Linked DNA regions of Caenorhabditis elegans. The protein of the gene in region 1 interacts with the protein of each later gene in a biochemical or structural test. Each region holds a gene or a part of one and is shown in the gene's direction. Other genes may lie near its edges.

Region 1 (7,774 bases):
TTATGCGTTTTTGGGTTCTTTTAATGATTTTTTTTAACATTTTAAAATTGTATTGCTTTCAAAAACGAATAATTCAAGCAAAAACGCAAAATTTAAAAAAATTTAAGATGTCGCATCTGCCAAGCTTTTATTAATTAAAGGCATGGGTTGTTACGAAGTATTTTGAAATTAAAGATCAAATTTCGGATTTTTGAAAAATTTAAGTTTTTTCAATGTTAGGAATTTATCTTTTGAAAACTATACTATGAATTTTTCAATTTACTTTATTCCTCTAGAACTCTTGATATTTTCAAAACGATATTTAACTTATTTTAGTATTTATCATGACTCATTTTCCCCGCATTCTTTCAGTATTTTTTCTATATAATACCTTGATCCATACTCTCTCTCTCTCATCATCACATGTTGACCTCATAGTGTCTCGGTTCGGGCCGATTAAGTTTTCGATACGCAAACATTTAATGGTAAAAATGGACATGTGGCTCCTCCTTTTTTGACTGAAAGAGGTTTCATTTGGAAAAAGTAGTTTGACATACTTTCCAGTAGTAATTTTAAGATTAGCCAATATTTGAGAGATTTTGTTTCACCGATTATCTCAGACAGCTGCCATTTGTTTTGTTCGTGAAAAAGTTTTTCTTGGTTACTAAAATACTTTGTCTTACTTAGTTAATTTTCTTTTTTTGAATATAATGTAATTTTTCAGATAATCTTCATCCTGTTTTCGTAAACAATTCTATCTGAAATTATGAAAACAAAACGGGATCTTAAAAAGAAAGGTTTGTCTTTATCCTTTGATTGTCTCAAAATTATAAAAAAATCTGTAAAACGAGAAAGAGTTTGAATACAAGTTTGAATTATTTTTTAAAGACTTTCTGATCAGTTATATTAGTAAGAAGCAGAAAAGTAGAGCGAAATCGTGGAGAGTCCACTTGGAAACTTTAGCGCAGTATAGAAAAGTCAGTAACTATAGTCACGAACTTTTCTAATTCAAATTTAAATTGTCTATCATAGTGTATACATGAAATTATCAAAATATGCATATATTGCCATTTCTTCACTTTTTTGCTCCCAGGTTTCCTGTGCTTTAAAGATTTCCCACTTAAATTTATATTGAGAATTGTTCTTGTTCTTCGACTTTCATCTATGCAAAAAATGTTACCGATCAAAGTTTCTTCAAAATTATCACCACAAAAATATGCATTATCAGACCATTTCCCTTTTCCGCAAAAGTTCAAAAAAATTCACTTAAATAGGTTCGTATCATAATCATTGAAACAAATACAGTGATTTGTAGCCTCCTATTTATTTTTTTTATTCAATTCCTGAAATTTGCAGAAGTTTCCAACACTTTCATCACAATGTCTACAATTTCTGATAAATTATCAACGGATCAAAATTATTTTTCAATGCCAACAGCGCCTAAACCAACGAAGCTTTGTGGATATTTTGGTGTTCATAAAAGTTAGTTTGAGAAGTTTTTATTAATTAATTCGAGAGAAAGTGGGATTATTTTCTAGGTTCCCACACGCCTACCTATGCCTGCCTACTTTTTCATATCTTATGTACTTATTTTGTTCTCACAGTGTTAATTTACACAATTATCTTTATTTTATCATCTTATTTGATGAAAGTTAAATTAACAAATGAAAGAAACAACGTTTGCGTGTACAGAAGGCGCGCGAGGTGAAGGCAGGCAGGCATTATTTCTCTCTTTTTTATTTGATTTTTGACACATTAAAGCTTATCTCTTAATAATAGAAAAATTGAAAACAAAAATAACATGAGAATCATTATAAAATTGTTTACATTTTTGTTTTGTTTGTTTTACAAGTGTTATCAAACCTAAAAATACTGATCACAAAATAAATAACAAGGCTATTTTTTTCGATGGATTATTTATTTATAAAAAACAGGGTAACAAGAATGTTAAGGGAGTCGATGAAAAATTTATATTAAAAAATATGTTTTCAGTTGCAATATTTGGAATCAGTTTCAATGCAATTTTCTTATTTGCATTTTACGTTTATGGATTAATAAGATTGATTCAAAAAACACCGAAGAATTATGTTGAATTTATTGGTACAGTTAAATAAATTTAATCTGAATTATTTAGAAATATGGATTTTTCAGTAATCTGCTCCATACTTATCACCATGATCCTCACCTTCAGTTTAATGTTTATTATGGCAGTTTTCCGTGCGAGACCCAAATTTTTACTACCATATATGGTTTTGAATACGATTCTGTTTTTTGCATATGCTGGTGAGCGAAGTTTTTTTTTCGGTGTGGTTTTAATCAGTTTCGCAAATATTGAGAGATTGTGAACCGGACGACCAAATTTGACAGTTTTTAATTGGAAAAAGAGAGATTACAGGAGCGGTAATCGGATCGACAATCACAGTTCCTGATGAAATTAGAGAAGAGGTTAATGGACAAGATCGGAGTTATAAAATTGTTGATATTATTTTATTAAGGTGGGATTTTGAAAAAAAAAGGAAACCTAGGGTATACTATTTTATCAATTTCAGAGTTGCATTGCTGGTATTTGGTGCATTTGAAATATTCTTCATCTATTCGTATATTTGGACGTATATTGATGTTCGAAGGTTGTACCTTTTCAATCGAAGATGAACTTGAAGTTTCTAATTGATATTTTCAACCATTCATTTTTTTTAAAGATTCCTGATTTTTCACACGGGTTTGTCGCTATAATTTTTTGATTGTAAAAAATAAATATGTTTTTTTTTAACTTAAATTAGTGCATAAATTGTTTGATTATAATAACATATCAGTTCACTACAAGCAGTTATAGGCGTGAAAACTTTTGGCCTACAGTACTCCTAAAAGACGCACATCATTTTAAATCGCACACGTGAAAACAGTGCGACCGTAGTTTATGCCCCCGCGTAATATGAAGGAACCATTTTTCAGGCTTTTCTTGAGTATTCCTTGTTTCAAATATTACTTTTCGGCCGGAAATTCTGACATATTTATATTAAAAACTTTTTTTTAAACTTTTTTATTGTGCACCGGCGCCAAAATGTGATATTTTCTCATAAATGCCATTCGTATCTGTTTTGTTCGCACTCAAGTATTGTTTTATGTAACGTGTTTTTGTTTTTCAGTAGGATCATTTGATTTTCTTTTTCAGAACTTACAGCTCGCAACATCTTCCGGAAATCGAGTATCTCCGGTGTTGATTGTTAAGCATTCCCTGCACCCGATTACTTACACTATTCACATCCACTCAACTGCATCAATATGAACGTTAACGGTGAAAACAACGAGAAGATCGATGAGTGAGTTTAACAAAATTCAAATGAAAAAGTAATTTTATGTTATTAAAGGCATCATCTCGAGAGCTCCCTCGCTGGCGTTCCAACTTTGCCCGTTTCACCACTCGATCACGCTAAGGACTTGTCTCAAACTAATCCGAATGCCCAGATTGGAGATTTGGTTACTCAAACTGCTAACTTGATTGCTATCAAAAAGCAGTTGCTTGAAGATATTGCATTGTGCGTTGGCTAATTTCCTGAATATCTTCAATTTACTACATTTCAGCAACCAACATATTCAATCGATGCAAGTTCGCGCGATTCAGAGTTTTCCCCAGAACAACCAGGTTGCACCTCCATTTCAACAGTTTGATCCTAGACGCCGCGGATTAGCCCGAATGCAGAAACCAGAATCATACAAGACTGTGATCTGCCAAGCTTGGCTCGAATCTAAGACTTGTTCTTTCGCAGACAACTGCCGGTTTGCACATGGAGAGGAGGAACTTCGTCCAACATTGTAAGAATGAAGCAAACAAATTATGTTAATTCCAATTTTTAGCGTCGAGCCGCTGCAGAACAATAAGTATAAAACGAAACTCTGTGACAAATATACGACTACAGGACTCTGCCCATACGGGAAACGGTGCCTTTTCATTCATCCCGATCATGGACCAAACGCATACATTCGCGCTGATAAACTTCTTGAAGTCAGAAGAAAACATGTATTTTTGCTCACTGTAAACATTTTCAGGTTTCTCAACGCCATGCATTGGCTGACATTCGTGATCAAATGGAGCAGCACATCATGACTAATGGTCGCATTGCAGCTCCCCCGCTTTCTGCCATTCAGCATCCTTTAGAAATGTTTGCCAGGCCATCAACTCCAGATGAGCCAGCGGCTAAATTGCCACTAGGACCAACTCCTGTTAGTACTCGTGGTCCAAGATATGAGCTACCAACGAAGGAATTGCATGACGCGGAAGGTAAAAATTGGCAGCTAGTTGCAATTAATGACCTCTGTTTTAGGTGCGATGACCTATCCACCGTCTCGCTGGCCATTGGATCCATCGATGTTTGCTCTAGACGCTTGGAATATGGCACATCGGCCAGCTAGTCCACTCGATTCGATGGTTTTGGGTTCCGCTCCAAATGCTGGCTCGTTCGGAATGCTCGGAAAGCAAAATACTCCTGGAGGAGTTTCTGGATATTCATCTGCTGGATCCACGCCTTCTCAGGATCTCAGTTCTTCGTCACTCAATGCAGCATCCGCAGCTGCCGCTGCTGCATATTTCGCAAATTCTGCTGTTGCTCAATCTCTTCTGATGAAATCTGTCGCAACTGATCCAATGATGTCATGTAACGGACCATTCTCTCCAATGCCAGGATTCGATCAATTGGCCGAAAATATGACCAAGCATCTCAATTTGTGGTGAACAACTTCTCTACATTTGTCAAATTTTTAAACACTTTCAATATTCGTGTCCCCCATACTAACTAATAATGCGTGCATTTGTGAATATAATAAGTTTTAGTCGACGTGTTCTTGTCCCATAGAAACTTGGCCCAATCGTCAAAAGCGCCCATTCCCATTTTAAATTCTCGAAATTAATATCGAATCTTGTGATGTATATTGTAATTCATCGAATCATTGAATGTATTCCAATTTTCACCGCTCGAGTTCCCGATTGCCTTCTGTCTCACTAATCCCTTCCCCAATCTCAAAATAAATTGCACCTGCCACGGATCATAATTGTGATTCTTTTTTTCTATCTTTCTTTCTTCTCAATGGCTCCGATACTGCCCGTACGTATTTTTCTTTCGTTTCTTTGTTCATTTAAAATTTTTATCCGAAATTTCCTTCTTGATCCTCATTGCAGGATGTAGTAAATTTTTTTGATCGATTCAATTTTCAAATTTATTGAAAATCAGGTTATATGTTCCAACACGAAAACTATCTAAGTACGTACCATGAAAAAGCAAAATAATATTGCAATTCAAGTTAGCTTTGTTCTCAATATGAGAACATTACGGTTTTAAAGACTTTATATGCATGCATGTTAATTAGTTTTTTCCCAACCGTTTAACCGATAATAATACATTTATTTTTTTAAATTTTAAGCTTCGCGTTCTTGACTAGGTCATAAATTGTCGATATTTATAAAACTGTTAATTGTGGGTAAGCTTGATCAATCACTTGATTAAATCAAAAGTGTCTAGGCTCTATTCAAAATATGCGCCAGTCAACACTATTTGCGCATTTTCAGTGCGTTTGCGCTTATTCTGTTGAACACTTGCTTTACAAACTCGCCCTGCCTTTTGTTGTTCTACTAAACAAGCTCTCTTTGCCGTTAATCTTCAATTTTTTCAGTTAAAATATGAGCGAAGAGCCGGCTGCAAAGCGAATGAAAAATGCCGATGAGTTCCCAAATCTCCGATCCGAAGTAGCTGGTCCCGTGAAGGAAAAGCTAATCGAACTAGACGCCATTCAGCACCAACTAGATGTGATGAGTGAAAACGCTGCCGAAGAAGTTTTGAAAGTCGAGCAGATTTTCAATCAGAAACGTCTTCCGATTTATGAAAAAAGAAAGAAGCTGACAACAAAAATCGACAATTTCTGGCAGACTGCTTTTCTCAATCATCATCTTCTTTCAACTGCTATTCCGGAAGAACAAGAGGACTTGTTAGCCGCTCTGCGAGATCTTGAAGTGCAAGAATTTGAAGATCTTCGCAGTGGATTCAAAATAATTATGACATTTGACCCGAATGAGTACTTCACAAACGAAGTAATTACAAAGTCGTATCATCTGCAATCTGAGTCACCGAGCACCGAAATTACCGAAATCGAGTGGAAGGAGAACAAGAAACCGCCATTCGTGAGTTTATCTTTATAATCCCTATTGTTTTAATCGAATTTTTTCTAAAACTTTCGCAATGTAACTCTTCCAGAAGCCGGAAGACGGAGATTCAGCTCACACGTTTCTTGAATGGCTCACGTACGCAGCACTACCAGACAGTGATGAGATTGCTGAAGTGATCAAAGACGATCTGTACGTCAATCCTTTGCAGTACTACGTGATGCCCGACATGCAGGAAGTTGAAGAAGACGATATCGAAGACTTTCTGAATGAGGAGCGCGGTGTAGATGAGGTATTAGAAACACCATTATGAGGCTACTGGATTTTTGAACAATTTTCAGAATGGACAAAGGATTCCTCGTCGGAACATAAGTGATTCACTGAAGGTTGATCAAGATGAAAGTGCGGATGGGCAAGAAGGAGAGGATGAAGAAGAGGAAGATATGGGAGAAGAAGAAGAAGATGGTGTTGAAGAAGAAGCGGAGGGTGAAGAAGAAGAAGAGGATGGAGCAATTGAAGAAGAAGGTGGTGATGAGAATGTTGAAGCACACGTTGCAGTCAACCCCGAGAACACTGCAGAGTAGCTTGTGAAGCTGAAATTTGTTGCATACTAATTTATTATTCCCACCGTGTGTTATAATTGTCATTTTTATCATTTATCAATCGATCCCGTTTTTGTAAGTATTTATTCACTGCCGAGTATTTTTGCGGCTCTATCTTCAGCTTGATTGTATTCCTATATGTTTTTGACATGATTCCAAGTATATTCGAATCAAATGAAAGATCTGCATTGAATACCGTCTAAGAGTCCTACAAAACAAATGGTAATTGGCCGCGAAGTTTCCTTTTCACGTAGTTCTTGAACAGTTCAATCTACTAACTTGCTCATTCGCCTCTTTTCAGATGTTGCTCACATGTCGTTTCACAGCAGCAACTTCTAGATTATCGGCGTGTACTCGGTCCTTTAGCATTGATTTTTCTCATGAAAAACCAGCACCTCACCAATTGGAGCATGTGACGACCCGTCTCACTGAAACTGTAAATTAAAAGTTTTTTGTGGGTTAACTGAAACAACTTGAAGGTTCCGCTCATGTTCCGCCGACGAATGGATTATACTTTTTATCGAAAAGACGTTGTTTGTGATGATCAAATTTTCTCAGTTGAAAAGCGAGGAATTGAACAGCTGATGAGCCATTTTGGAATGATTGGAACATTGGGACAGGTTTATCCAACCTTTTTTTTAGAACAATGTTTTTGAAAAGAAAATTGGCCAAGTCTTCGTTATCCAAGATTCAAAATCTTTTAGGTCTTCTTGCCACACGTGGAAATGGAAATGTTATCAGTAGCTCCAGTCATTGACGAAGGAACGGTTCGTTGTAGATGGAGAGTCAAATATGTGTCATTTACTCGAATTATTATGAATCCACGCCTTCTTCGATTTGATTATCGAATGCAAAATTTGAGTTGGTTTGATGGATACTCCGTTTTAACGGTCGATGGAAACGGAGAAGTTTATAAAGTGACATTGCAAAAAGTATTTGTTTCGAGATGTTCTTTAAAAATACATGTTATTTCAGATGCAACAAGACGAACAGAAAAGTCTGCTAACTTCGACTACCGAGAAGCTCAAAGAAAAATTGGCTC
Region 2 (8,143 bases), 4.1 Mb from region 1:
CTTAAAGGGAAGCCGCGCCAAACATACTGATGGCGGCTGCTCTTTTCCTAATCATTTCCCCTTCCACAATATTTGCTCAGTTCATCCGAAAATTGGCATTTTGGACGAAAATTTGAGATTACGGTATTGGTTCTAAACATAATGATATTTATGTTTAAAATGTTTGATATTGAAATTCAGATACTATAAAAATTTAGGAAAATGTTTAGGCGTGCATACCTGCCTACGCATCTGCCTTGGTATACATCCAGTTTACATTTTCTATGTAAACAAAAAATTTCTCGTGCACTTTTACAGTTTTCGCGCATGTATGCAGGAGGTAGGCATAGGTTGCCTTAAAGGCTTAGTAGGCAGACAGTCGTTTTCACCTGAAAGAGTCAGGTGAAAAGATCTCAGTCTAGATCTCACCACAATTTTGAATTCTCCCATTTGTACTCCCTAGGTTTTGAATATGTTATAGTATGGGAAAAGTGACTCACTCATATGAAATTTTCGCATAACTTTTGGAACTTTCTTTCTGGAAATGCAAATATAGTTTTTAAACTCTGAAATAATGTGGACGTTTCAAAATGTGGAAGTTTTCTTTCGAAACTTATCAAAAGTCAAAAAATTTTTGAATTATGTTTGGAAACTCTTACTTAACTTACTAACATATAGCTGTAACGTTTTTTATAATCTCAAAATAATGATATTTTAAGATCTAAAATCTGACATTTGAAAAAAAAATCTAAACAAATAGCATTTTGTAAGCTATGCAATTTAGAAATTTTTTGAGCGATCAACTAAGCTCCCGGGCTTCAAAATTGTCGGTGAAGAGTGAAATAATTTTAAAACTTTCAATTCCAATTTCTATTACCTACATGTTTCTGTCTTCACTAAGACACCCATTCCGGTGTTCTCTTACCATGCTAATAAATAAATCACGCACCGTCCGAATGGCCCTTCCCGTCCGTAAATGCCGTGCCATTGGTTCCGCCCGTCTTTACCTAGATATTCCATCAGATACAAACACTCTCATTCATTCGATTATAATCGTCGATACCAGTCATTTTTGTACCCCCTTTTCTCTTGTCTCTTCCCCTCACTCACCCTGCTCAAACACGCCCAATTTACTATGACCCCGAATGCACTTTTTTCTTCTTCTTCTTGTTCTATACCATTCTTTCACTCTGAGGGAATACGCCTTCGCCCCGCCGAACCACCCTTCATCACATATCCCTATGAATCTTTCACACTTTTCTCTTCTTTCTCGCTCATCCATTTGCTTTTTTTCTTTGAATTTCTAATTACCAGGCTGCTGTTTTTTCTTTGGTTTTTGGTTTTACACGTGATAGAATTTAAGGTTTTCAGGCGTTCTTGTCTAGTGATTTATAGGCCGTAGGCTCGATACAGTCAAATATGCCTACCTGCCTCGAGTTAATTTCATTTTTCTAATAGGAAACACATTTTAAAGGTTATTTAAGTGAAACATAAAATAAACTTACGCAGTCATCCATGTGTTAATAAAAAATACGGCCTACATTCCTGCCTTGTTGTACGCTGGGGGTAGGTACGAGTCATTCGTTGGCAGGCAAATATGCCTACTTACCTCGGACCAACTCAATTTTGAAAATTGGAGAAAAAATTTTAAACACTTACGTGAAAGGTTAAACCGGTTTAGGCAGGGTAAAACCGGTTTAGGCTTTGTTAGGCTTGTGTTAAGGCTTGGGTTTAGGCTTGTGTTTAGGATTGGATTCAGGCTTGGGTTTAGTTTTTTTGTGCTTGCCTACCACATATTTAGTTAATTTTAGCAGAAGCTCTGGTTTTCATTTAGGCTTGCTTTTGCCAAGCAAATATGCCAATTTTCCTCGAGTCTACATACTATGCTAATTGGAAAATTTTTCAAAAAGTAACTTTGCGTGAAACCCAAAATAAACTTACACGGTCATCCACGTGGTATGAAATAAAAATAAATTGCCTTTGTTCAATTATTTTATTACTTTCAATTCTTCTCACTTTTTGCACATTTCGTTAACCGTCTCACAATCAGGAATCCAATGCCAGATAAGTTATTTGTACACAATTAAGCTTCAATAAGAGAGAATTCTCAGGTTTAATCTTAGGCTAGGGTTTAGGTTGCTATAGGATTTTAGATTTGCTATGGGCTTAAGCTTTTGTTTATGATTGGTGTTAGGCTAAGGTTCAAGATAGGGTTGGATTTAGGCTTGAGGCTTGGGGTTAGGCTTGGGTTTAAGTTTGGGTTTAGGCTTGGGTTTAAGCTTGGGTTTAGGCTTGGGTTTAGGCTTGGGTTTAGGCTTGGGTTTAGGCTTGGGTTTAGGTTCAGGTTTAGGCTCAGGTTTAGGCTCAGGTTTAGCCTCAGGTTTAGGCTTGGGCTTAACTTTGAGTTTAGACTTGGGTTTAAGTTTGAGTTTAGGCTTGGGTTTGGGCTTGGGTTTAGGCTTGGGTTTAGGCTTGAGCTTATCCATTCTTGGTCCCTATCCTCTATGCCTTCCCTAACTTCTATTTTTTAAATTTCAGCCTGTTTATTTCTAGACTCCCCTTTTTAATATTTCCTGCCGCTGATCATATGATATCCATATTTTTGCATTTTATATCAGACATCAAAAACTATTAGCATTAAGTTTTCATAAGGCATGCTTTGAAAACATTTGGAATGCGCAAAGATTATGGGAAGAAAGTTTTGGAAAAGTTCAGAAATTTCCCTTACAAGGGGAAGTTGAAAAAAAACCATTTTGGTCGGTGCCAGCTGATGCTCCTCTCGTGACTCTTGATAAGCCAATTGTTAGTCGTAAAAATGGGGAGAAGAACTTTAAAAGTGCGTAAATATCTAGTTATCTCGTTTTCTTATCACTGTTGTCATTGTGCATCTAACGTATTTCGGTTCACTAATAATAAGTTTCACGCTATTTTGTTTTTATATTATATTGTATTTTCAAAGCAAGTTCACTAAAAAGTTTTGCTCCATGCGTTCCAAGCATCCACTGCCTGCCTATCAATTTATCATCGTTCTCCACCCCGTTAGGTGTACCATTCAAAAAACGTTTGTTGCTCCGTACTCTATGTCTCCAATTCCCATATGCTCTTCCACAAACCCGCAACACAACACAAGTTTCTGCAAAAAAAAAATTTGGTGGATTCCTCCTAGAGAGTAAAAGAGAAACAGGGGGAGAAAAACGGACTCTTCCAACATCATTTGCCCCTTTTTCTTATCTGCTCCAACTTGTCCCCACGTTCGGTGAGGTGTTTCTCCCATTGATAACAAAATGTATTTGATCCGATTACCCTCTACTCGTCGTCAACTCTCTTATTACCCCCTACCACAAATTGTATTAAAAAGTACAAAAAATTTTTAGGAATTCTCTCCCAAACTTGCAGCAGTCTAGAGTAGTTGAAGCATGGCTGCTCTTGCCTCGTTCACACGTAACAGTCGAAGTTACGGGCAACAACCGATTGATGTTACACAACAGGTGGGTGTGCTATACCTCTATTAGTAGTGCATGTAATTATAGTTTCAAATTGAAATGGAGTTTGAAAATTTTTAAATTTCTCCTCTGAAAAAGTAAAGATATTGACTTTTTTCTGAACTTTTGTGTGATTTCTTAAATGTTCATTTTTGATATTACTAGTTATTATAGTTCTACTAGGATTATAAAATTCTAAACAAATTGCTCCTAAAATTCAAAAAAAATCATTTCAGGGTCAGCGAGATCGCAGTGTAATGAGTCTGGATGCACAAGGAAGATCAGTTTCACAGTGAGCTTTTGATTCTTTTTCTCTTCAAATTTTTTCTTCAATTTTCCCACTAAACGTATGTAGTTTAAAATATTGCAATTTCGAATTACTTTGAAGTTCTTAAGGAAATTTCTAGAAATATTCAAAAGTCGTGCCTGCAGCAGACGGTCATTTATTTTCCTTGAAAGCCCCCCCCCATTGACCACCATATGGATCCCATTAAACTTTACACCCTGTGGGGTCCTTGAGAAAACTTTTTGATGTTTTTTGTCCATTTATGCTTAACCTGATTAGTTGAAAAGCTGGTGTAAAGGGCCTAATTAGTTGGAAATTGGAACATGTTTTGAAAATCACAATGTATTATTGTAATAGAAATCTAAAGGCGGAACAAGGAAAAAAATCAATGAAAATTGAGATCGAGAACCCTTCTCATTCAATGAAGAGGTGTTTTCTTTTCAATAAAAAGGAGGAGTGGGGGGAGTATTTGTCATCAAGAGTACCCAAGAATGGTATACCAGCGATTTCACAATTAGATTCACAGTCAATCATTTCTTTTTTGATTCAGACCTGTTTGATTTTGCAATTTTAATCAGGATTCAATACATTTTTGTTAAAAATTTTGTTTTTCTCCCACTTTAATAGTTTCAAAACATTCATTTTCTGAAAACAGCTGTTTTAGAATACCTTGAAGCTTACATACTCTAAAACAAAACAGTTAGACCTAAGCTAACGTAGTTTATTGGCATTGGCGTTTGAGTAAGGCGGCCCCGTTGTCTAGTCACAATAGAAAGGGAGTAATGTAAATTGTTAAATTGTTGGTAGGTATATCCTTATGCCTGCCTGCCTGCCTACTGTTTGCTGATTTCCTTTATTTTAAGTTGAACTCTGGCCTTTAGTGTTCACCTCATGTAAGTTTACGCATATTTTATAGTAGACGTAGAGGTCGGTATTTTTTTGGTTAAAAAAAATTTTAAAAAAATCAAATCACTTCCTCAGCCACTTGCAATTTTAAGCGACTTTTCAGTAGAAACTTATGCTTCAATTGAACAATTTTTCAAATCCTATCTCTCGTCGATTTCTCACAATTTTGAATGTAACAACATTTTAAACGAGACACACAAAGTGTAAAAATGCTCAAAGAGTCAATCAGTGTTCCCTTGGCCTTTTTCTCCCTTTACCCTCTCTTCGAAGAAAAATGATAGGAAAATATCCGGGAAGGGAGAATTTAGTTGCACGTCATGATGTTCTCATCAGAAGTTTTTTCCTCCACTTTTTGAAAATGGAACTTTAATGACTCCTTTTGTGCTTGCCCCCTTAACCCTATCCAATTTCAAGACGTTTTCTGATTGTTCTTCGAAGTACGATTTCAATGTGTGTGAGAAGAGGAAAAATGAGATAGATTGTACTTGAAAGTAGACAATTTACAGAAAACGAACATTTTATGGTTTCTTGAAAACAGGTTGATTTTAGAGATTTTTAAGTGTCAAGAGATTTGTTCACTTGAACGAAATAATTATGGAACTTTTTGATCTTGTTAGATTTAGTTAAAAGAAAAATTCGCAAGCCTAAGAGCAAATGTGCAAAAATTTTATTTTGTTCGTTGTGATACAAATGTTGCAGAAAACTATTTTTCCTGAATTTCCATACATCAAGAAATTGACCAAGAAAGGGTTTTTCTACAAATTTTCAGTTTTAATTTTTTTAAACATTGTGAAGGTTCTGTTTGAAAAATTCAAAGTTTGCAAAAAATTTTGCCAATTCGCCAAACCTTGTGCTGAAGTTTTCAGAAAACTACGATATTTTTTTCCAAAAAAAAGCGTTCCTCACAAAAGTACCGTATCAAATGTTGGTCATCAAAAATCCGCACCGAATCTTTCCGATCTTTGTCTCTCTGTATCACTTGTGTTAGTCTTCAGTCCCGCTTTCCCCACCCTCCCCCAGATAAGGTTCTCGCGTTCCCCTATCTATCCCCACACACACACATTTTTATTTTAATTACAAGTACTAATTCGGTAGTGTTTTCTGTTTTCTTTACCTGTATGGTGGAGACTAGGAGGACCTTGCGGTCGGGAAAATGAGGCATCGTAATCAAACCAACCGAGGCAACACACACGCCGGGCCATGATGGAAACAACTCGTAAAAAACCCGTCTTTTCTATTCTTCATCGTTCTTCGCCTCTCTCACAGGGATTCCCTTTTTCATTAGTCGTTAGGAGAGGCTTTCCATACCTTTTATGATTGTATACAGTGATCTACAGATTCTTGAGATGTATGTACAATTTTTTTTTGTTTTTGATCTACCTGGTCAACTCGCAACGATCCTCCGCTAGCTGGCTTTGTGTGTTGTTTAGCACTTTCTGTAGTTTTAGAAATTACTTCCTATTGTGAATGACCAAATTTCCAGTTTTTCAGTAAAAATAAATACTTGTCCTATTTATTGCCAAAATGGTTGGAGCTGTAAAAACATACAGTTTTTGCAATTTTTTTTTTGGCTTTTCTCCGAGATGTCACAGTTTGCAATTTTTAAACTACGGTTTTATAATAGTTGTAAATCAAAAAGTTTACTGTAATTTTTTTTAATTCTCAGTTTTAATTATTAGTTTTTGACTTACTAACAAATTTCGGAGAAATTTTTTTTGATCCGAAACGATCTAACTTTTTCAAATTAAAATTTTTAATATTTGCAAAAATTAGTTCTACAAAACAACTACAAACCTGCTTGATTCTGAAATTTCAGCCAAGTTTAGCACTTTTGATCAAATTGCATAAGCTTATAAGTCCTCCTCCTCCTCCTTCTCGAGAGCCCCAAAACTCTTACAAAGCTGTGAGATTTGTACTTAATACTACACAATAATCGCCTGTAAATGTAGTTTCCAACACAAATTCTATCTCCTCTTTTATCGCTCCCTGCCTTCATTCATTCCTTCATTTTCTTCTGGAAAGAGGCGGCTCTTCCTCGCGCGCGCAAAAGCAGGGCTCATTCCTCTTTGCAAATATGAAGAATTCGCTGACTGATTCGAATATTTCTAAGAAAAATTTCAAAAAACTTCCAAGTCTTCCTGATGTTTCGAGGTGAGGTTTTGCATATAGTAAAAGTCGTTGAATTTTATTTAAAAATAGTTAAAAAGTTAAAAAGTTAGTAAGTTTAGTTAAAAATTTAAGTATCTGGAAAACTGGCAGGCTTTCAAATATAATTCCCATAGAGATTGTGAATATTTTTTTGAATTTGTGAACGAAAAGTTTACAGTGGGAATTCCGCCCAGCCAAGGCGTCACGGAGACGCTTCTCATTCGCCTCTTCGCCCTCCCCTCACATTTCCGACGGCATTATGAGCAATTTGTCACATTTGTTGTATTGAATTCAGCGTTGCACAAAATTACAATTCTTTCTAATTTTTAAACCGGAATTTTTAGGCCCCTCGTTTCGTTAAGCCTTGATATTTTTTTGCCATTCGAATCACTTGACAGGCAGGTGCTCGAATTAAGGAACGGCGCCAAACCACATATTTCTAATCAGAACATCTGTAGTCTGAACGATTATATTACACTTGGTCAGGGAAAGATTTTTGATAATTTTTTTGTTTCACTGCAAAATAAGTTAACATACGAGGGCGGGGCGACATGTCTCGGGGTCTGAAAACGCCTCCATATACCCGGAAATGCCTCCCCTCGTCTTATGTCCTTCGTTCAAAACTGCCGGTAGGACCCGATGCTCCCCAATCTTCGGGATTTCTACTTTGTAAAAAATATTTTTCGAACTTCTACCATTATCCCTCCTTCTCACTCTTTAAAGATCGGACACCTCGATACCCCCTCCCCGTGTAGTTTATTACCATTGAAAAGTTTTAATTGACACCAGTTGTACCTCTACCATCACGCCTTTTCTTTCACCGTCTATGTCTCTGTCTCTCTCAATTTCCATTCAAACGTTGGTCGATCTCCTGCCTGTGTTTCCATGCGAAAGTGAAAACGACGCCGCCAGAAGGCATCGTACCTATTAATAAAATGGGCAAAATGTTGATGATGGCAATTGATTTATAAAGAGAGAGAGAATTGGCCACCACACTGAGGAATAGATTAGCCGAAACGTTCACTCTCTTCTCCGATTTTCACGGTGCTTCTCGTTCTTTTCGCATGACTAATAAGGTGTGGAAGGAGGCTGGAAAGAAAGTGAGAATGAATGAGAAATGAATTAGGTGTTCATTTGTTCAGTTAATTTATTCAATGATGATTAATCCAAGTTTTAAATTTTTAATTCAGTGACCTCAATTTTTATTTGTGTTCAAAATTACCCGAAAATAGTCGTTTTCCCGTAGCCACATATTTTCTATCTGAGCCCGTGAGGTGTCGGGTGCTGTAGCAACGGTCAAGTAGTAGCGCCCGACACTTTCCGTGTTCCGCAGTTTTGGCAG

Evidence for each region.
Region 2: of the proteins of oma-1 (region 1) and mbk-2, one has a biochemical effect on the other in vitro, tested with the Caenorhabditis elegans proteins (3 studies listed by BioGRID).

The regions. Positions count from the first base shown.
Region 1 is NC_003282.8:8,885,825-8,893,598, forward strand, and holds oma-1 (CCCH-type zinc finger protein oma-1), read left to right. Parts: upstream 1-3,151; 5' UTR 3,152-3,261; coding exon 3,262-3,299; intron 3,300-3,347; coding exon 3,348-3,515; intron 3,516-3,561; coding exon 3,562-3,792; intron 3,793-3,834; coding exon 3,835-3,982; intron 3,983-4,026; coding exon 4,027-4,258; intron 4,259-4,301; coding exon 4,302-4,708; 3' UTR 4,709-5,175; downstream 5,176-7,774. Other genes in the region: C09G9.5 (MARVEL domain-containing protein), read left to right, coding at 746-776, 1,336-1,461, 1,972-2,079, 2,131-2,262, 2,375-2,474, 2,529-2,631; spr-2 (Suppressor of presenilin-2), read left to right, coding at 5,651-6,148, 6,222-6,422, 6,472-6,714; C27B7.2 (Phospholipid scramblase), read left to right, coding at 7,034-7,168, 7,212-7,352, 7,437-7,664, 7,708-7,774. UniProt on the Caenorhabditis elegans protein: Zinc-finger RNA-binding protein that binds to 5'-UA[AU]-3' motifs in the 3'-UTR of maternal mRNAs to suppress translation in oocytes and embryos.
Region 2 is NC_003282.8:13,005,763-13,013,905, forward strand, and holds the start of mbk-2 (Dual specificity tyrosine-phosphorylation-regulated kinase mbk-2), read left to right. Parts: upstream 1-3,395; coding exon 3,396-3,467; intron 3,468-3,697; coding exon 3,698-3,753; intron 3,754-3,874; exon of another isoform or gene 3,875-3,895; intron 3,896-8,143. UniProt on the Caenorhabditis elegans protein: Required for oocyte-to-zygote transition in which it phosphorylates oocyte proteins, including mei-1, oma-1, oma-2, mex-5, and mex-6, modifying their activity and/or stability following meiosis.